Arabidopsis thaliana: one gene and its partners. The protein of the gene in region 4 interacts with the protein of the main gene of each other region in a pairwise test. Each region holds a gene or a part of one and is shown on either strand. Other genes may lie near its edges.

What was found.
Region 1: the proteins of ABCI12 (region 4) and LHT2 interact in a protein complementation assay, tested with the Arabidopsis thaliana proteins (one large-scale study listed by BioGRID).
Region 2: the proteins of ABCI12 (region 4) and AGP16 interact in a protein complementation assay, tested with the Arabidopsis thaliana proteins (one large-scale study listed by BioGRID).
Region 3: the proteins of ABCI12 (region 4) and NRT1.7 interact in a protein complementation assay, tested with the Arabidopsis thaliana proteins (one large-scale study listed by BioGRID).

The regions. Positions count from the first base shown.
Region 1 is NC_003070.9:8,650,488-8,655,673, reverse strand, and holds LHT2 (lysine histidine transporter 2), read left to right. Parts: upstream 1-1,758; 5' UTR 1,759-2,112; coding exon 2,113-2,294; intron 2,295-2,378; coding exon 2,379-2,762; intron 2,763-2,969; coding exon 2,970-3,363; intron 3,364-3,448; coding exon 3,449-3,554; intron 3,555-3,651; coding exon 3,652-3,743; intron 3,744-3,834; coding exon 3,835-3,903; intron 3,904-4,012; coding exon 4,013-4,111; 3' UTR 4,112-4,267; downstream 4,268-5,186. Other genes in the region: AT1G24405 (uncharacterized protein), read right to left, coding at 236-421. UniProt on the Arabidopsis thaliana protein: Amino acid-proton symporter. Transporter with a broad specificity for neutral and acidic amino acids. Basic amino acids are only marginally transported.
Region 2 is NC_003071.7:19,017,560-19,021,357, forward strand, and holds AGP16 (arabinogalactan protein 16), read right to left. Parts: upstream 1,806-3,798; 5' UTR 1,550-1,805; coding exon 1,435-1,549; coding exon of another isoform or gene 1,376-1,434; exon of another isoform or gene 1,278-1,375; coding exon 1,171-1,277; 3' UTR 705-1,170; downstream 1-704. Other genes in the region: AT2G46320 (Mitochondrial substrate carrier family protein), read left to right, coding at 1-64, 200-258, 332-461. UniProt on the Arabidopsis thaliana protein: Proteoglycan that seems to be implicated in diverse developmental roles such as differentiation, cell-cell recognition, embryogenesis and programmed cell death.
Region 3 is NC_003070.9:26,313,641-26,320,969, reverse strand, and holds NRT1.7 (nitrate transporter 1.7), read right to left. Parts: upstream 5,184-7,329; 5' UTR 4,763-5,183; coding exon 4,576-4,762; intron 4,011-4,575; coding exon 3,793-4,010; intron 2,452-3,792; coding exon 1,886-2,451; intron 1,765-1,885; coding exon 873-1,764; 3' UTR 737-872; downstream 1-736. UniProt on the Arabidopsis thaliana protein: Low-affinity proton-dependent nitrate transporter. Not involved in dipeptides transport, but has a weak glucosinolate transport activity. Involved in phloem loading and nitrate remobilization from the older leaves to other tissues.
Region 4 is NC_003074.8:7,600,901-7,606,032, forward strand, and holds ABCI12 (cobalt ion transmembrane transporter), read right to left. Parts: upstream 3,000-5,132; 5' UTR 2,821-2,999; coding exon 2,458-2,820; intron 2,348-2,457; coding exon 2,231-2,347; intron 2,149-2,230; coding exon 1,912-2,148; intron 1,827-1,911; coding exon 1,662-1,826; intron 1,562-1,661; coding exon 1,486-1,561; intron 1,418-1,485; coding exon 1,353-1,417; intron 1,262-1,352; coding exon 1,109-1,261; 3' UTR 922-1,108; downstream 1-921. Other genes in the region: AT3G21590 (Senescence/dehydration-associated protein-like protein), read right to left, coding at 3,651-3,739, 3,856-4,022, 4,150-4,271, 4,542-4,615, 4,685-4,889.

The DNA of each region.
Region 1 (5,186 bases), on a different chromosome or scaffold from region 4:
TGATTTTATAATACACCTTTAATAAAACAAAAACACAATTCCTGGTCGCTATTAAATTCTCACCAACAAAAATATAAATACACAATCAACCGCAACCAACGAACTTTCTAAATGTTAAAGATTTAACAATTACAATCAGAAGAATGGTTAAAAGAGAGAAGCAGAACTTAATGGATTAATCACAAGGAACAGATGAATCAATAACCCTTTTGTAACTAAACAAATAACCTATTGATTACTTATCAGATTTCTTGCCAAGTTTCATCCATTTGAATCCAAGTATGGCCTTCCCGATACCGCTTTTGCTTCCATCTTCCTTCTTCTTCTTCTTCTTCTTCTTCTTATCGTCTTCGTTACTTGAATTTGGAGGAGGATCAGAGTTGTAATCCCATTGATCAGCCCATGATAGTCCAGAATCCATCTTCTTCGTCTCTCTTTAAGATTTTGTGGAATGAGAAGGTTTAGAAACAAATATGAGGGTGAAAGAAAGATTTTGTTTTACTTATTATAGACAGTATTGGTTTGACACAATGTCTATAAGTTTCTTGGTTGCTTATTTTTGGGGTTTATCTGTTTTTAGTTGTGCCTCTTTGCCCTTTGGTTGGACAAAGAATCAACATCTTTCACCTTTGACTGTGAAAACCCTTCAACAAGAAAAGAACCCCTTACCTGAAACACTTGAATTTTTTTGAGTAATCAAAAACTATACGCTTCAACGGTTCAACCTAATTTCTCTTTTACATTTTATTCAACATTTTCAAAGGATAGTTGAGTAGATTAATTACTGTTGATAAAAAACGACATACAATTTTTTTTGTCACGCTTTGAAATTATATTATTACGCTTGTTTCGTTTTGTGACATTGTACTACCAACAATAATTGTTTTTTATAGTCAACCATATCATTAATCGGAGCGGTCCCTTGATTCGTTCGAGCGACCCTCTAATCAATTGGGAATACTGTGACAAATAACCATGCATTTATGCTTCAACAATTTTAGTTTTCCTTCATAAATATCACGGGATGCAAGTGACGCTAAGCATAAATAGTTCGTCTGTTTCATTGACTTTGTAATAGAAGATGAAAAAAGAAAATATATAGATATTTATCTTCCTTTTGATGTCATGACGTTTCGTGATTTTGATTTACAGTGTCAAAAAGAGAGATTACGCTAGCGAAACGTCACTACGACCAAGATTTAGTTGGAGTATTTATACTCTGATCATTCTCAATTTCTCATCATCGACATTACAAATATGCAAAATTAACAAAAAATAATAATATATACAACTCATCACCTTATATATCTAAGAGCGTTTTGTCTAACTAATAATATGTTAGCATTTTTATGCCACTATTAGTAATTTAATAATATAGTTATTGCTTAAATATATAGATTTTTAACATATTTTCTCTTAGATATATATATATATATATATATATATATATATATATATATATATATATATCAAGATATAAATAAATTCTACTAAAAGAAAAACAAAAAAACAGCTAATTTTTTGTCGGTCAACTCAAAATAATCATTAAATGAGAAAGATATATTTATCTATCGAATAAATATTATTTTATTTTTTAAAAGCGAAACACTCGTTAGATCAGGTGACCATGAAAAGAAAAATTCAGCTCTATCCAAAAAAGAAAATAAATCATGCAAATACAGGGAGAAAAAAGTACGAAATTACAAAAAAAAGCCATGTCAATGTAAAGAGAATCATTGAATCAAGAAGAACGATTGGGGGTAAATTAGTATTTAAATTGGTCTAAGCATGAAACAGCTTCCAGCCGATGGTGCCTTATGCCTCGGGCAAAAAAAAAGACCAAACACACTAAACAAAACTACCAAACAAACTAACAAACATTCCCTTCAAATTCGGAAAAGTCAGAATCTCATCACCTATTTATTACACTCTCATAAACGCTAACAAATCGTTGAATAGAATAATTAAGCAGGTAAAATCCTAAACCGTCAGAGAATATCTATCCTCCTCTTAAATATCACTCTTATCTTTATCCTCCTAAAATCTTCTTAATTGTATCTAATCTCTTTCTCAAAAACCAAACACTATCTCTCGATTATATCACAAGGAGATATGGGGAACAGTGAAATGTCAGCGAGTGAGGTTGCGGCGGCCAAGCAGAAGAACGTCGACGATTGGTTACCGATCACATCTTCCAGAAACGCTAAGTGGTGGTACTCTGCTTTTCACAATGTCACCGCCATGGTTGGTGCTGGTGTTCTTAGCTTGCCCTACGCTATGTCCAATCTCGGATGGTATACTAATTTGTTGAATCTGATAATCTTAATCTCCTTTATGTTTTAATCCATGATCTGATCTGAGTTTTTGATGTATTACAGGGGACCTGGAGTGACGATTATGGTGATGTCATGGATCATAACGTTGTACACACTGTGGCAAATGGTGGAGATGCATGAGATTGTTCCAGGGAAGAGGCTTGATAGGTATCACGAGCTAGGTCAACACGCTTTTGGTGAAAAGCTTGGCCTATGGATCGTCGTGCCGCAGCAGCTTATCGTGGAGGTCGGTGTTGACATCGTTTATATGGTCACAGGAGGAGCATCCCTCAAGAAAGTCCATCAACTAGTCTGTCCCGATTGCAAAGAGATCAGAACTACGTTTTGGATCATGATCTTTGCTTCCGTCCACTTTGTTATCTCTCACCTTCCCAATTTCAACTCTATCTCCATCATCTCACTTGCCGCGGCTGTTATGTCCTTAACGTAAATCTCTTCAACACACATATATTGGTTTTACTTTATAACTTGAACAGAAAGTTAGAATAATTAACCTAGAGCATGCCTTGTGGTTCAAGGCTAGGGATCAAAATTGTTGTATATTTTCCGGTTATTAGAAGAAAAACTTAGCATAATCCCAAAATATGTAGAAAACTAGGTTTTATTGCCTGATGATTTTTATGATCTGTACAGTTACTCAACTATTGCTTGGGCTGCATCCGTGCACAAAGGGGTACATCCAGATGTGGACTACTCTCCTAGAGCATCAACCGATGTTGGAAAAGTATTCAACTTCTTGAATGCGTTGGGAGATGTGGCTTTTGCTTATGCAGGTCACAACGTTGTGTTGGAGATTCAGGCCACAATCCCTTCGACTCCGGAGATGCCATCCAAGGTCCCAATGTGGAGAGGAGTTATTGTAGCCTACATTGTAGTCGCCATCTGTTACTTCCCTGTAGCATTCCTCGGCTATTATATCTTTGGAAACAGCGTTGATGACAACATCCTCATCACTTTGGAGAAGCCTATCTGGCTTATTGCTATGGCTAACATGTTCGTGGTTATCCATGTCATTGGAAGCTATCAGGTATTCTTCCACATTCTAGTACTTCTATATTTTTGATTGAAGTAAGAATTATTTCATGAATATTGACACCTTTGTGTGGATTCAGATATTTGCAATGCCAGTTTTTGACATGCTCGAAACCGTTTTGGTCAAAAAGATGAATTTCAATCCTTCTTTCAAGCTCCGCTTCATTACTCGTAGTCTTTACGTCGGTAAGAACCCACTCCTCATTTATACATATGTAACGTCATCCTCCTACTCCATTCATTAATTAATCTCATTTTCATCAATGTACATTGGACCGTGCAGCTTTCACGATGATTGTTGCGATATGCGTCCCGTTTTTCGGTGGACTACTCGGCTTCTTTGGAGGATTCGCCTTTGCCCCAACAACTTACTACGTATAGTACAAATAATCCCTTCATTTCTTTATTGGTTTATCCATAGATTAAAGTTGTGAATTTATATACACATATTAATTTGTAACTGCAGCTTCCATGCATTATGTGGCTCGTTCTCAAGAAACCAAAGAGGTTTGGTCTATCTTGGACAGCTAACTGGGTATGTTCTTTAGTAATCAATGGTACATAATCTATAGCTCTTGTTTTCTTGTAAAGTAACAATTTTTGTGTTTTGGTTTGTTGGTGTTGTGGATTATGAAAAAATACAGTTCTGCATCATAGTAGGAGTTCTTTTGACGATCCTTGCCCCAATTGGAGGACTCAGAACCATCATTATCAACGCCAAGACCTACAAGTTCTTCTCTTAGATGGATCACTTTTTTTTGTAACCGCGCAACCGAAAAATAAAATCACGGCATGTCTAATTTTATGTGACTGTCCGTTTAAGTAAATTTTATGTTTTCATTGTAGTTAAGACAATTATCTTTGGTTTCTTTTGATAATAAACTCTTTTTCAAATAATTAATCTCCATGATCTGGTTCTTCTAATGTTGTGATTTCGTAATTTATGCAAGAACGTACACGGGAATTTTATGACACGTCTAGATGCAATGTTACCATGGTCAGCACGACACTGCGTTTTGTTTTTCTTTATGGTTTATGGATACATTTACATTAGATGATTTGGATCTGTGGTTAGATTTAATCTTAATCACGGGGTTTTCACCTGTCAACAATATGACATGACTTGAAAACGAATTTATACTTTCCAGTACAGCATGCATGAGTGATGAGAATAATTTAATAGCTTCGTTTATTATTTTGGCTTTTCAAATATCTTGATTTATACGTTGTTTTTGTTGATACGTGAACCTGTGATTCTGGTCGTAACTCGTAACGCCACATGTACCCTTTTGTGGAGAGTTTACTTGTAAACGGCAGACCAAGAACAAAATGTCCTTTCATCAATTTCTATCTAATAGAGAAATCGGCAATTTTGGTTATAAAGCTCTTTGATGAGTCTTCTCCTTGTCCTGCCTTAATTATCCTTTATGCTAGGCTCGGCTTCATCGTTACAATTTGCTCCGATCCAGCTTTGATTAAACTCGCTCTATATGTACATGATCTTCTTGTTTCTTTGTCTATGCATGTATTTTGTCATACAATTCTTTCTTGATTAATATTAGGAGAAAAACATAGAGCTCAGTAGTATAAGTATATACAACCAGTCCACGCATTCTGCTGCTTCCTCTTACCACATTACTTTGGACACCATGGATCTCACCGCTCTTCAACCTTTTGAGACTACAGTTTATGACATATCATATGGCAAATTAGCTTTATCGTGCCGTATTGCTAGACCTCTAAGTCATTACGAGACTTTTGTAGTGGTGCTTATACAACAAGCAAGCCATCTTACTAAATGATCATCATTGATGTAGT
Region 2 (3,798 bases), on a different chromosome or scaffold from region 4:
GGGTGCAGTTGCTGCAGCAGCTACTTGCCCTCTAGATGTTGCAAAGACTAGGCGTCAAATAGAGGTAAACATACCTTTTTCACTTCATCTTTCATAATTCCACTGTGTTGCTCTACAAACTAGAATTCATCGCCAGCTTGCATTAAGTAAGTTTTGGATCTTAAACCAAGTAACAGTTAAATTTGTTTGGATTATGCAGAAGAACACAGATAGAGCCATGACAATGACCACAAGACAAACCTTGGCAGAGATTTGGAGGTATGAGTTAGAGATCCATTAGACAATTTTCGTGTTTCCAAACTTAACCATCCCGGTCGGGTTTTTGGTATAGGGACGGAGGGATGAGAGGGATGTTTAGTGGAGCAGGGGCTAGAGTGGGACGAGCAGGACCATCTGTAGCCATTGTGGTATCGTTTTACGAAGTGGTCAAGTACGGACTGCACAACTTCCACCAACAGTAACACTTATACTAGACAGATTTTGTTTTGATGCGAAGCTAAAAAGAACACACTTGCGCGTCTAATCCAATAAAGGTTACCGTATTAGGTGCTTACGGCAAAACTTGATTTTTTTTTGTCAAGAAGGAATATTATTTATGCAAGTTGTTGCATTTGTTTTTCGTTTTAATATTTTTTGTAAGAACAAGTAAATTAACACGAGATTCTTATGGCAAGAAATTAACTCCATGCATGCTGATCAAGGGTGTGATTTATAAATGACATGTGAAATGGCATATATACAATTCCGTGATTTATAAACTTTTTCATGAGAAATTGTAATCTGAAGATAAGACTTTGAGAATCGAATTCAAAAGAGTTGAGCAAATTTTCTGGCTTTCATATCCTGCTTCTGAACTGGTCAGAGATTTCTTTTGTGAGGCCAATAAAGTTGGTAATTGTCAAATATCTGGTAATTTAAGCTAAATGATGACATTTACACAAATATTATAAGGGAAGAAGAATAAATTTAATATGGAAGAGAATAAACAAAAAAGAACAAACAGTAGAGATTATCATCAATCAATCAATCTCCAGAAATCATAATCGAGAACATGATGATGAAATTAACTCTTGAAAATTTTATCCACAAGAAGAAGAAAAAAGGCAAATTGAAGAAACTAATAAGAAGTTGCAAAGAAATAAAAAAAAACAGAAGAAAGAGAGAGAGAGATTAGAAGAAGGAGTAGGAAGAAGAAGCATCAAGAGGATGAATTAGGTAAGTCAGCACTAACGCCACCACCATTAGCAAATACGCTATCCCTTGATCTATCGATGTTCCTGCCATTTCCAAAACACACCATTTTCAAATGTCAGAGAGAAACGAATTCGTAATCCAATTCGACTGTTTCCAGATTTCACGCGGAGAGAGTCTCGATTCAGATCTGGAAATGCGAATATCGTGGAAGAAGAGAGAGAGAGAAGTAGAGAGGCTTACCATCGCTGGTGGGAGCAGGAGCTGGAGCCAGGGATTGAGCGCCGGCGAGAGATAAGATGACGGCGAATACAAAACTGAACAACGCGAATCCGGTGACGGAGTTTCTCGACGCCATCTCTTGGTGATTGATCCGACGAAAATGATGATGCTCGAGAGAAAAAATCGAGAGCTCTGCAGGTGAAAAACTCCGGCGAGAGAGTGATTCTGCAGAGACGACGGAGGAGAGAGAGAAAACGGTATGAGAGGAATAAAGCAAGAAGTGGAAGGAGACGACTTGTTTAAGGTGTTCTTATAGTATGAAGACCGGTTAAAGGTTACCGGTTTCAACCGGTTATTTATCCGGTCAAATCTATTTACTAGTCAAGCTAATTAAACAAAAAACTTCTAAGAAGCATGATTTTCCTCGAATTTTCTTTTATTCTTTTTTGACCATTCCTCTATTGTTCTTTTTTTTCCTAGTTTTCTTGTCAAAATTGACATTTTTTTTTGAATGAATAATTGTCAAAATTGACATTACTATGTTTCTAGATAAATAAAAAATAAAATCATGTTTGAATGATCAAAAGTATGAATTGTTGTGTTAGAATTTTGACTAAAGTTGTTGTATCTCTAATCCAATTTGATTTGTGAATTGTTGATAGAAAATTGTTTTCTTTTTTCTGTCAACGGATAGAAAAAGATAGAAACTTGATTAGGTACTGATCTAAATTACAATCATATAGCCGATAAAAAAAATTATAATCATATAAGTAAATAAATTATTTATGTAATAAACTTAAATGAATTACAAAAATTCAATATTGGTAGCTTTATAGGGTAAATTCAAAAATAGCAATAGAAATGAAGTTATGGATTATATGGTTTAAACATAAGCCCAAAAACAAAACAAAAAAATCTTTAAAAGAAATTGGCGGCTAGTTTAATTAAACGTTACAGCGACGAAGAAGGCCATGTGATGTGATGTGATTATCTTTTTTTTGTAAGCATTGTTTGGTTGGATTATGATAAAATACAAATCTTTAGAGGTGGTGTAATGGTAGGGGCTGACAGACTGGCAGCCAAACTGGACTCATTCGTCATATGTGACTCATTAGTCAGTCTCTCTCTCTCTCTATTATTCCTTTTTTTTATTGATACTCAATTATTTGTTTCTGCTATGTCGATTAATTTATTTAACGGCTATCTCAGTAGGTGTTAATCTGCGTGATTATCGGTTAATCTGCCAACATTTTGATTTTTTAAATACTAAAGATTTTCCTATCTATCTCACATGTGGTGTCAGAATAAAACAATTTATCGTGATGATGTTATCTTACATATGCTGTTTTGTTTAGGTAGAGTGTATTTTACAATATTAAAAACTTTTTAACTTGACACTATTTATAATACTAAACAGTAAATAACGATTTTTCTATGGTTTTTGATTCATAACCATGGCAGATTGATTGATTTTACCATTCTATTCCATATCCTTTTTCTTTTTCTTTCAAGGTTATCAGTTAAAAATTAAAATATATATGAGTGTGCTTGACTTCTTTTTTAATTTGGAGTACCTCGGTTGTTGAATGTACGACAATATGAATTATTTGTTGTATAGTTATTATATTTGTTATTTAATGATTCATGTAATCTTTATTAGGTGGCTAATTCACTAACTAGTAAGAGGAATTAGCCGTTGGATCAGTTACATCAATCATTTTATGTTTCAAAATATATATACTATAATAATATCTTTTAACATAACAGGAACGTGCATGTTGCAGTTGGAAATAATGTAGGGTCATCTTTTTTCAAATTTGCAAATCCTAAAACGTTATCAGCTTTTACTTTTCAAGGGTTACTAATGGTTCAGAAATCAGAATGAATGTAGTAAATCCAAAAGGAATAATACACATATATATATGTGTCACATGTGTGCGGCCAAAATAGTTCACTGACTCTTGCTCTCTCATATCTTCAATCATGTTTTTTTTTTTTTTAAACATATCTTCAATCACGTTACTCGACTGGTGGTGTTTCACGGGTGAGAAATATATGTATTTACGTATTAATTTCTTAGAATGAATATTCTACAAATAAAAGTTACTATTTGTTCTTACGTCAAAAGAATAGAGAGTTATTAAAAAGGCCACTTGATTAAAAATATATGAATAATCAATTGATGTTAATAATAATAAACTTCGTATATAAAAAATTGTCGTATATGACGACTAAAATTTAAGCACAAAAAAAAGTCTTGTGGTATAATAATTTTGATCAAAGAAAGAAAATAGAGATGAGCACAAAGAGCCTAAAATAGAGGGACAATGAAAAGGATGGAGTAATGGGATTGTTTGAAGCAACCATGTGCCCTGTGAACCCAAC
Region 3 (7,329 bases), on a different chromosome or scaffold from region 4:
GGTGGCAGCAGAAGTGTTTGACCCTTTTACAGCCGTGAAAAAAGGATTCCAAATCTTTCACAATATATGATTCCCTTATAACTTTTCATTTTAATTTAGTTGATTTTGTATGAAAGCTTCTTTTGGATTTTCTATTTATTAGCTAACAGTAAAAAAGCATACAAACCTATATACTAGTTATTTATTTTTGTCAAACCCCAATATATTAATTGAGTGAATAAACGTTAAAACGGAATTCAATTGTAGGTTAAATGAATGATGGAATATACAGCATGTGGCAAAGAGGTAGACACAAAATAAAGCAGTAGATATTTTTGCTTCATGCCAAATATGTTTTGGACTTGGTGTTCTAGAAGTCTAATATGATATATATATATATATATATTTTTTTTTTTTTTATGTACCCAAGAAGTCTAATATTAATATTAACAGTAATAGCAGTAGTAGCTTTTCTTTACAACATATTAGTTGGGTTGTACTCATTTACCGTCCGTAATCGATAAAGGATGAAACTATGCCTAATAACGTGATCCTCCATAGAAATGATCAATTAAAACTATACTGTTTATATTTCTATCAAGTCATAACATAGTGTATATGATATAGTTCCAAATGCAATCCATCTAACTAGATTACTTTTATGATTTTAAATATACTTGTTAGAGATGGTTTTCTGATTCCAGGCAGAGAGTATGATGACAAAGTTATAAAATAAGACAAAACTGTGAACTATATCTAACACTTCTACATAATGAAAGGTAAAATTTTATTAAATATTCTAGTTCTTACATATTATGATACATACATTGTCATAGTAATTATTCAAACAACATCGACAATCTTCTTGTTGTCCCTAAGGATAGTCTATTAAATCATTTCATCGATTTCTTCGAAGTCATCTCAACATCATCGGAGGACTTGTCCTCCTCAAAGTCTTCAATCGGTAAACCGACCTTGTACCGGTATCCCCGAGCACAATACCAAAAGTAAACCAGATTAACCACACCCAAAACCGCAATCAGATAATAGAAGTAATCCAATTTTCCCGCGTTGAGATTCTTGTTTAGCCAATCCGGACGATCATGCCCACCGGAGAATTTATGAACGACAGTCACAAGGAAACTACTAAGGTAGCTCGAACCGGCGAACGATAAAGAGAAGAGAGAGTTAGCGATACTTCTCATGTGCTCTGGAAACTGACTGTTGAAGAACTCAATTTGTCCGATGATATTGAATGCTTCACATAGTCCCATGAGAATTAGCTGCGGCGAAAGCCAAAACACCGACATTGGAGTCATTCCCGTTGGATCTCCGGCATTGATGGAGCGTATGCGTCTCATACGCTCCACAATGCCCGCAACGATCATAGAAAAGATCGCGAAAACGATCCCTGTTCCTATCCTTTGGAGGAGTGTGATTCCGGATTTATGGCCGGTGATTCGCCGCATGAATGGTACAAAAACGCGGTCGTAGAAGGGAAGAAAGATGCCGATTGTGAGGAGAGAGATGACGGAGAGTGAACCAGCCGGAATCTCGAATTTAGGACCTAAGTTTCGATCCATTTTCAAAGCTTGAGAGACCGTGAAAGTGCCTTGTGTTGTCATGGCCGCGAGTGAGATTATTCCGGCCGACCAGATAGGAACAATTCGGATCAAACACTTCACTTCTTCCACTTCTTGGACGCTGCATAACCGCCACTTGTCTGCGGGAGGTCCCTCGGGTGTTAGGTCACCTTCTATAACCACCGCGGCTTTGTCAAGACACCTAATTTTATGCCATTTCAGTTAGACTATAGGTTAATACAAAATCATGTAATCAGTGTTGTCTTAAAACCACCTTGAAAGTGATAAGCAAAAAATAAAAACAAAAATCATATATTAAGTACCTGAATTGGTTACTGCGGTGTAACTTGGATAACACGCTAGACTTGATGGCTGGGTCGTAATAGGTGACAGTGCCGTCATCTTCCGCCGGAAGTTTCAGCTTTCGCTTCTTACGAGCTGCCACGATAACTTGAGCGATCCCAGAGAATATACTTCCTTCTGGTTTAACGTAGACATAACGCTTCATTCCGGCAAAAAACATAACAACCGCAAGAGCCATGAGTCCGGTAGGGATACTAAAACCGATAATCCAACTGACTTGATCCTGGATATACACAACTACGGTCTGTGTAATGATCAGAACCACAGTGAAAGTCATGTAATACCAGTTGAAGAAACTGGCCACTCCTTTAACCCCTTCCTCAGTTCGTTGGTCAAACTGATCAACCCCAAAAGGGATGCTACAAGGTCGTATTCCTCCACTCCCTACGGAGAGGAAACAGAGTCCCAATAGCAAAACTCCGATCTGGAGCTTATTCGGACCGCCGCAACTGAGTGGGTCCTGGCTGTTGCATGATGCTGGGTGGAGTTGAGGAAACGATGCTGTGAGTGTAATTGTTATTAGTCCCTGCATGTTGTCAATGTAATTATAATCAGTCATTATTAATTTTGAAACCGATTCTTCATTATTAGATATTCTATAATATATAACTTGAAACTGAATGATTGTTAATTAATATTGAAGAAAGCAAACAGTAGTGTGGGATATATAGATTGAAGTTATGCGAACAAATACAAACAATTAATAAAGTTTACAATAGTCTTAATTAGGTTTGACTTCATATGATTGAAAAGTGATGTTACCTTGATTAGGTGAAAGTGACAGTGACGTAGAACCTAATATCATTTATTTCTGTTGTAACCCTAATATAGTAATATGAGCATTTGTAACAGTTTAAGTTCAACGTTTAACTAATTACGAAAAAGACAAAAAAGTGCAAGAGAAATTAACAAGTTGGATGCGATCATAATTCTATAATTGTGAATGAAACAGACACTAGAAAAGTAACTATTATTATATACGTAACGTCACTGTGATACTGACCAAATCTAAAACCCAACTAGCTAGCTAAATCATCAAGAAACTCAAACACTCAATTATTGGACAATCTCATTGTCAATAATCTATATTGACCACTTGCGTATCTCTTCCTTTTCTACGCACATCTCTTTATCTCTTAAACAGAACACGTTCTAATACGTAACTCCTTTATTGGAAAATGTTTCATCAATGAACAAAAGATGTTTACGTGAGATAAGTATTTTCTTACCATTTTTTTTGGATGTTATATAAATTTTCAAGGTAAATACCGACAAGAATAAGTGTACTAACTAATGCTTTTGTTCTTATGATTCACATTATTGACCGACCTTATCGTCCTCGATAGCGTGGTCCCTCAATAAGTTCATGCGTTTTCGTACGATACAAAAGTAATTTAATAGCTTTTGATATAGAAAAAAAGAGAGTAACATAATAGGTATAAAATAATATATAAAGTGTTAATACTTTGTCATTTACATATATATATACTTAATTTAATTTGTCTATACGTATTTTCTTATCATGTCCACGTGCGGGGTGAAATTATGTGCCAAGTATCATGTATCGTCGCCACACACACAAAAAAACACGTAAATTGAGTAGTAATATAGAACTTTCTATTTAGAGTTGTTATGTTTTTTGTTGGATGCAACTATTCGAACAGTGGACGCTAAAGCACTGACCCATGCTGGCAGTAGGCCGCGAATAGTTGCGGATTTGAGGTGTTAGGAACATATAAAGTAAATACTACTACGTACGTAAATGTTGTGTATTTGTAGACACATTAGATTATTTATTTTTATTTTAGTTTTTTAAAAAGATTATATAAAATTTTCAATAAGTTAAATAAAAAAATATTATACGTACGAGGAGAGTGGCGAATGAGGCGAAAGCGATGGTCTTGAAGCGGCCAACATAAGTGTCTGAGATATACGCTCCGACGAGAGGAGTGAGATTGGTGAAACCTGACCAAATGTTGATGACATTTGCAGCGTCGACTTGTTCTAAGTGAAACACTTTGGTTAGATAAACCATGAAGTTTGCCAACAATCCTATCGATCCCAGTCTCTCCAGCGTCTCATTTCCTATTCAACCCATTTTATTACAAAATATTATCAGCAAATAAATCGACAAATAATCCCTCTATTGAAGAATATCAATTATACTCCATTTTATCTAGTAATTATCATCACTAACAAAATTAATCATATTCCATTAAATAGAGAGAAATAAAATATTATAAAAATTTAAAAGTATAAAATAATTTAAAATGAAAGTTAACATTTTGGCTAAAAGAGCACTTATGATGACAAATTTTTATTCCATTTCAGTTATAAAGTCGTCAGCTAGACGAGTGTCAAACATGTTGGACCGACGGTTACGAGAGTAATATATAATATAATTTTTGATCGAGCTGAAAAGATTATGCGCTCATTTCTTTTGTTCTGACTATTATGTGCAATGATTTAGGCAGAACGTGATCTTGCAACGGCCCGTTACATCTCCCAATGATAATATATTAACTGGTTTCTAGAACTATATATCCAATTAAGGAAATTAACAAAAAAATATTAGCCAATAACTGAGGAAAGGTCAAGGATTAGGTAAACTAAATTATGTACACGAAGCCTAAAAATAAAATTAAAATACCTAAAATGAACGAGACGGCTCTCCATCCTCCAGGCTTTTTCTCTACCTTCTCAGCATCCAATATAGATCCCGGCGAACTTATCCGCTTGTAGGGATCAACAACATCCAACTCCGACGGTGACGATTTAGAGAAACTACCGGATCGTCCCGGCAAAGAAGAACCGTCCTTTCTATCCTCCAAAACCATCTCTAAGATATTACTACACTCGTGATATACTCACTTCGATTTCGGGGTGGATTTAATGTTGTGAGAATATATTCTCACTTTTTTGCAATCAAGGTAACACACATGAAGTGATTGATAAATGTAGAGAGTGGGCACAACATACAGACACTTTCTCTTTGTTAGAAGCTTTTTTGGGTGTAGTGAATTATTTGTGGAAGTGTGTATATATAAGGGAGTGAGTAGATAATATATGGTGGGTGTGGGTAAATTTGAATGACGTTCGCCACTAGTAGCCTCCACGTGAGAAGTTTGAAGAGGAAAATTAAAAGAAAACTATTTTAGTGCTATGTTTTTTTTGTTTTTCTTACACCGTACGTAACATTATTGTTTTGTTCCACGTATTGTGAACCTTCCATGTTCCATACAATTGTAACGTTAAAATACGATGTTAAATTAATGAACCATCTTTTACAGTACATTTGCATCGTAAGGGGTTGATGGATGATATTTTTTGTTCACGCGGTTTTATGTGTGTTGTCGGTCATATATATGGTATGATGTGTCTCAAAAGGACATCTAATCTTTTTTACCTAAAAATGATATGATATCTCATAAATAAGCGAGATTTTATTTTCTCTAAAGCATATTTTATTTTTATTTTCTTAAAGGAAGTGAGATTGTATCGATTTTTTCTATTAATCAATCAGTTGACTTAGTTCTACACTTTAATGATCCTGACAAAATCTTAAAATTTATATAGAACCTTTTAAAATTTTTACTATTATTGATAGAGATAAACATTTGTCACATTTATACGATTTTGACTCATGGCGATAGATTCTTCGAAGTTAAAACTCTCTTTCAAACTAGTTAATAAGAGTAGATTTTATTTACTGCTTTATACAATTCACACACTTGAAACGTCCAATATGTCATCTTGGCATACAATTGCTTGTTGAGAGTCGTTCAATTGGTAAACAAATAAATAAAACTCAAAACGTACATACCAACATGATCTAATATTTTTGCACAAAAAGTCATCGCACTCTAAGATGAACCTTAAACTATTTTGGGTTGCAATCAAACAAAGAAACACATATCACCAAAATTTAATATAATAAAGTTAGAAACAATAGTACACATATAGAGCTGGCCTTAAAACTTTGGAAGCTCATACCAAAAAATAAAATAAAAAAATGACATATCACCAATTAATACATTGAGATGAATTTGTGCAGGAAGTGATTAAATTTCGAACCCACTTAATCCTCCTAAAAATATTAACAGAATTTCCGAGAAAGAAACTAATTCTATTTATTCGTATATAATTTTATACGATTGCTCGAATGTGTGGTACATATGTTTATCTAGATGTTGAGTTGAGAAATTCCATGTCTAGATATTTTTCAATTCTAAATTTTCATTGATTTATTGTAGAAAAAAATATTAATCAACCACTTCAACTTCAAAACAATTCGCATCATTTTTTTTTCTCAATGTAAAATATATATTATATATAGAAACAATGAAAATCTTCACAAGAAATGAACATTAATAATAAAATTATCATTGAATGTTTATGTTAAAGGAAAGATTAAGTCCAACCAAACTTGTAAAATTCAAATTGAACACAAACATAAAAATCGGTGAGTGAAGACAGAAACAGAAAGAGAAATACGATAAGATGAGGTAGGCTTTTATCGCCTTTTAGGCAAATGCAAGTGCCTAACACTGTCGCATGCGCGAGCCATCAAATTTCTACGCAAACCCTCTTTGTCTTTTCTTCTTTATTAATTTTTTTTTGTTTGGACCTTTACGTGGGATCCTATACCGTATCACCGTTCGATTTTATGGTCATATTATTGTACACCGTTCGATCATCTTATCTCTCTTCACCATTCTCAATGGTCAGATGATATGAACCGTGGACTGGGTGCCTAAGGTTTGGACTGCTTTTACTAATCTGTCTCAATATGCTGAGCTGTGTGGTGCGGGTCACTATCAAACATATGCATTTTAATGGTCATGATCGAATAACGAAAAATGTATATGGAGTTTGATAGATAACTCCAACTCTTAGAAAGCTCACTTTTTCTATTTTGTATTTGAGAGGATCATATCTACCGACTTCATATGGTTATACTAAGAGATATTTATATAATATCCTCTTATAAAGTATACCATAATTACTTACTAAAGCATGTTAAATGTGGGAATACATTTTTGACCCTGCTGAAAGAAACATAATTATTAATCATTTCTTAAGTTACTATCTCAAGTATGTTATAGGAAAATATTTGCACCTACATATATAAACATTTGATCATTTTTTTGTAGTATATACTGTTAGATTGAATTCAGGTTTTTGATATAAAAGTCGATTTTTTATAATCCAGTTGTGCATAACAAATTCATCTTTTTTTTCTTTTTTTGGGGAGTTAGATGAAATAAGTGGGATTTCAAGATCGTATCCATTGTGATATATTTAGAGTCCTAAGCAAATCTAAATATAGGTTTTCATGATTATATCATAAAACTATATTCAAAAGAATTGTGTTTTCAGCGTGGAATACATGTCTTCAAGTAAT
Region 4 (5,132 bases):
TGAGTTTTTTTGCTGGTTAATGGAATACTGGAATAAATAGAAGAAATTAGAAGAGATGACAAAAATGGAGAAAATGGCTTCTCTGTCAGAGCTTCGTTTCCTCGTAACGATGCATCTGTAACCTAAACACATAATTCTATTTTTCTTTTTGTTTAATTTAGTTTGTTTCCCTGTCCGTTTTTCCATTTTTAAATTTGATTTTCCACAAATCTAATTTTTGCTGAATTAATGTAATGTTGCTCTATGGGATTAATCAAACAAGCATTGGACTACATATATTGACATGTTTTAAATGAGAACTGTAAATATGAACTAATTCCAATGACAAATCTTTTTCAAGCTGTGATGATGGAAACAAGTGATTGCTTCCAATGCAAGAAACTATATTGCCGAAATATAGTTTGAGTGTTTTTGGTAGAATTCAAGATTGATGTTGTTTATAGAAGCAAGCACGAGTGGCTTGGGAAGACATTGACCCGTTATTTTCTAGAAAAAGATGTGAGACACTGTTTTCGTCTGCCTTTGTCTCTTCTGGACACGAAAACCATATCAAATCACACAAGGGTGTACCAGACTTTATCGAGTGAGATTGAAGAGATCACGCCCTTGGTTGGCTTGGGATCATCTTTCTTAACTCTTTAAGTATAGATTGTATTTTTGACGTAATTTGAAAGAAGAAATGTGGCAATTTCTTACACTTTTTCTAAAGGGTATTTGTTTCATTAGGTATAATTTCTTCGTGCAAAAATAGAAAACTTTGTCTGTTAGTGTTAGGTTATTATAATGATGAAACACATTCACAAGACTTAAATGTATGGGTGACAACTAGTATGGATTCAGTCATCTCATGGAGCAAGTTCTCAACAGTGCAAACCATTAATCCGAGTTGGAATATGTTTGCTGATGGGATGAGTTTCTTGGTCGGCGAGCATAACAAAGTTGTATTGTGTTACCCTAACCGGACCCCCAACGAAATCTTACACATTGGGGAAGAAATTTATCACATACAACATTTGGATGATCATGATAGAGATTCTACCTCAAGATCATCTTTTCTTCTGAATTATGTTCCAAGTTTAGCTCGAATAAAGATTAGTATGAATCAATATTAGACAAGAAAGTATTCAGACAAGAGTGCGGTTGAGATTACACCGATTAAACACAAAACTGATGCAAAATCTGCAAACTTATTCGAAGAGCCAGAGAAGAAGTAGATCTTGTGGCTACTGCTCTCTCCTCTGAAGCCTCTAACAATCATGGCCTGCATGCACATAAATTACAAACTTCTTCAACAGAGAATTCTTATTTGATTCTCAAATCAATGAGATGATAATAAGTGAAATCTATTTGACCTGTGATATTTGTTCGGCATGACGAAATATATTCTTGAAGATGCGGCGTATGAATGACGCGAAAACTACAAAAAGCGATCACTTGTAAGATGAGATGTATATAGAAAGAGAGAAGAAACTTTTAGATTCTTACTATCAAGTGTCTCCAGAACAGTAAGCTGCTGCCAGTTTACTCTTCGCGATACAATTCCCAGTGAAACACTTCGGACCTACAATGTAACATATGCACAACGTACCATTATGTGGTTTAGGACTTGGAATAACTAGGCTGATTGATAATATTAAAGCGAATAAGTGAACAGTCGTTACCTCATCGAAAACCAAATTAATGAATCTCAGTGAAAGCAGTAGCGTGAGGATAATTTCACTGACTGGAACACCAATATATGTCAATGGGAACAAGAACCAACGTAGAGCTAGTGCAAGTTGCTCTGGTGTTGTTGTTGCAAGGCAAATACTAGCACTTTGGAAGATCTGTGACCAAAAACCAAATGTTCCATTAAGTGATCTAATCAAGAAAGGAAATAGGTAAACCGCGGAAGTCGAAAAACCGACTTACAATAAAGGTTAAGCATGCGGCTGTGCTTCCAACAGACAAACCTTTCCTTGTGAATTGCAAAGGACCAAGCTTCAGTAACATGTACGAATAACCGCTTAAAGACATGGGAAGATTAGGCAAGCTTGTGATTGAAGATGGTGGTGTTCTTGATTGAAGCATTGGAGGTGCACCATCTGAACCTAGCCCCAATGTTATGAAGAGAATACCCGAAAGAAGCGACACTCTCGCCAATTGATCCTTTACAGAAAAAGTTAGGAAACTCAGCAGAGCAGATAGATCACATATAGAAACAGAGTTGTGACAGAGAAACAGAACTCACTATCCAAACTTGTCTTGGGAGAACAAGGATTGACAAAAGAGCTGTGCATAGAACAAGTCCTAAACGCACAACTAGATTTGCTCTTGCTGGAAGAACTACTAGAGTTAATAGCCATACCTACACATATATACAAATACCAAAATTCAAGCTTTAACAAAAAAAAAAAGACTCAAACTTTTTAACAAAATTGGATTAGAAATTTGATAAGAATCAAGAATTCAATATACCAATTTGATTCTGGGATCCACCGAGTGGAGAAATGTCACAGGAGACGATATGAATTGTCCGATGGGACTTCCGGTGGCGCTTGAAATCAATCTGAAGACGTTTTCGGCTCCAAGTCCTGGAATTGGTAACCGGTTCACCCAATTACCGGTTTTACCGTCTCCGTCGACGGTGGCTCTGACAATGAAAACCCTTTTCGCGGCGAGAGAGGAGGAAGGAGTCTCATTAAGCCGGAGCGGGAAGAGAAGCTTAGGGTTTGTAAAGTTCCGGTTAGGAATTGGAGATGTGAGATGACGAATTGGGTGTTTGGGGATTAGGGTTACGGTGAGGGAGACTGTTGGATTGGCAAGATTGGAGTGATTCATGAGTTTTCAATTTCGGATTGGATCAGACATATGCCCTAGAGCGGGAAATTCTGTACTTGGTAGAGAGAGAGATACTGTAAACTGTCAAGTGTTAAACTGTTGTACTTGTTGGTTTTGTCGGACGTTGACTGTGGTTCTCAACTTCTCATAATAACAAAAGTCAAAGTATACCAAAATTTGGATTTCGGTTCTTGTTCGAATTTGATGTATATATAGACTCGTTTTGGATTTTCTCACACTCTTTTTGTATAAATCTTTTCTCGTAGAGTCATAGCCACACCAAAACCAAGATTAAGTAATTTGATACAATACAGCATATGAAAATGTAACTTAGCTTTTAAGATAGATAACATATTACTGCCTAGGAGCATTTTTGACAATTTTTGAGGTGATGGAAAAAGTTGGCTCGAGAGCTTTTTGAATATTCCAGGCGGTTCGGCCTAAGCTGCCCGTTGTTTCCAGTATTATTCCGGTGGTTTTTCCGGCTTTCTCTCCAAAACTTTGGTGCGGTCATCACAAAAATGTGAATATGTGTTACACTCAACTCAATAAATGTATAAAATTGTAAAATTCGATGGTCATGTAAACATGTTATATAACTCATCTAAACAATCCTAACAAATAAAAATGATAACCTATCTCTAAAAATCATTAGCTACCCCTCAAAACTATTTGGTAATTAATTATTAGATTGTATGCACGCTATACAATAATTCTACCAACTTCGATTTTATTTTCTACCGATATAATCATTCTTTTGATTCAAATACCGGTGTGTTACTATAGAAACATAATTCATTCTCAAAATTGAGGATCACAAAGTGAGCTTTTTACCTCTTACTCACAAGTCTAGTAGCAGCCATGGATGTGGCATAATGAGTTTGTATTTCTGCCGCTTCAGCAGCACCAATTATATTATCTATTGACCACATCAAAGTGTTTATCTGTTTTATTTAAATTTTGATCTCAAAAACTTCAAAATAAATGAATATGAGTATAGATTGACAATTAATGGAGCTATTCTATGTAACTTACGAAAAGAATCAAGTGATGCCAAGATAACCTCTCCTGGAGCAGTGGATAACAATGCCTTCCCTAACTTCGACTTAACCACCGGAGCTATCATCGAACTGCTCACCAAATCTCCACCTTCTAAGGCCGCCATTCCTATAGCCTCGCTCACCTTCCACAGCTTCTCCGCTCTATGTATATGTTACATCCAACAAAATAACCAAGATTTGGTTCATTATAAGAAGGAACAAGAACCAAGATTTTATTGTTTGGTATAATATATACTATTTTGTGGGATAGAGATTAAAATATGAATACCTTTGAAGATTTTTGTTGAGTTTATTCTTCTTATTAGTTTCATTGTTGCCACCTCCATCAATTTGTGATATGTCACCACTTCTTTCCTCATCCTCTTCAGCAATCGTTCCTTCCTCGTGAATCTGTTTTTGTTGTAAGAAAATAAAACGATATTAATAATAAAAAATACTACAATATGTGCGTCTTACATCTCCATGTTCATATAAAAGTTTTTAAAAATCCAACACAAAAATAAGATGATCTATACTAGTAAATAAAACACATAAGTCGTTCCACAAGTTGGGTTTGAATTGGAAGTTCATGATTCTTTACTACAACAAATATTTCGATTCAAATCACAATCATCTATTAACACTCATAAGCATCATGAGAGGGACTTATATGTATGAGACCTTCTTAGAGTAAGAATTGCTACAAGTGAAGATTCCCTTGATGATATGCCCTGTTCCTACCGCGATGGCCTTGGCTACACCATTTTTGTAGTCTTCAGCCTTCGGTGCAAACTTTTTCCAATCAATTTCATTGTTGTTCTTACCTGAAGTACTTGAAGATTTCTCCCCCATGATATCTCCAAGAAACTCAGGGTTTTCCATGATTTCTCCGTCTTCCCCTAAGAAACTCAAGGCTAGCTCCAACAGTTCGGATTTATCGACGATTTGGACTCCGTAATCGGGATTCTCCAACAAAACTTCTTCGTTCACCGCTTGGGCAGATTGGTTTTCTTGGGTTGATGTGGACATTGTGTCTTCTTTCTTAGTACAGTAGTACTTTTAAGTTTGGTTTATATGTGAGGCTCGTTCCTATATAATGTTGGATGATCGAAGGTAATGACGTAAACACTTACCATTTGATCATATTAATAACCAACAAAAATGTAAGACCATAAAATATGATCATATAGCTTGGTAGTGAAGAATAAGTAAAATTTTCTAGTTGTATAACTAGCAAGTTGTTTCAACAGAAGATGAGAGAATACCTTTTCT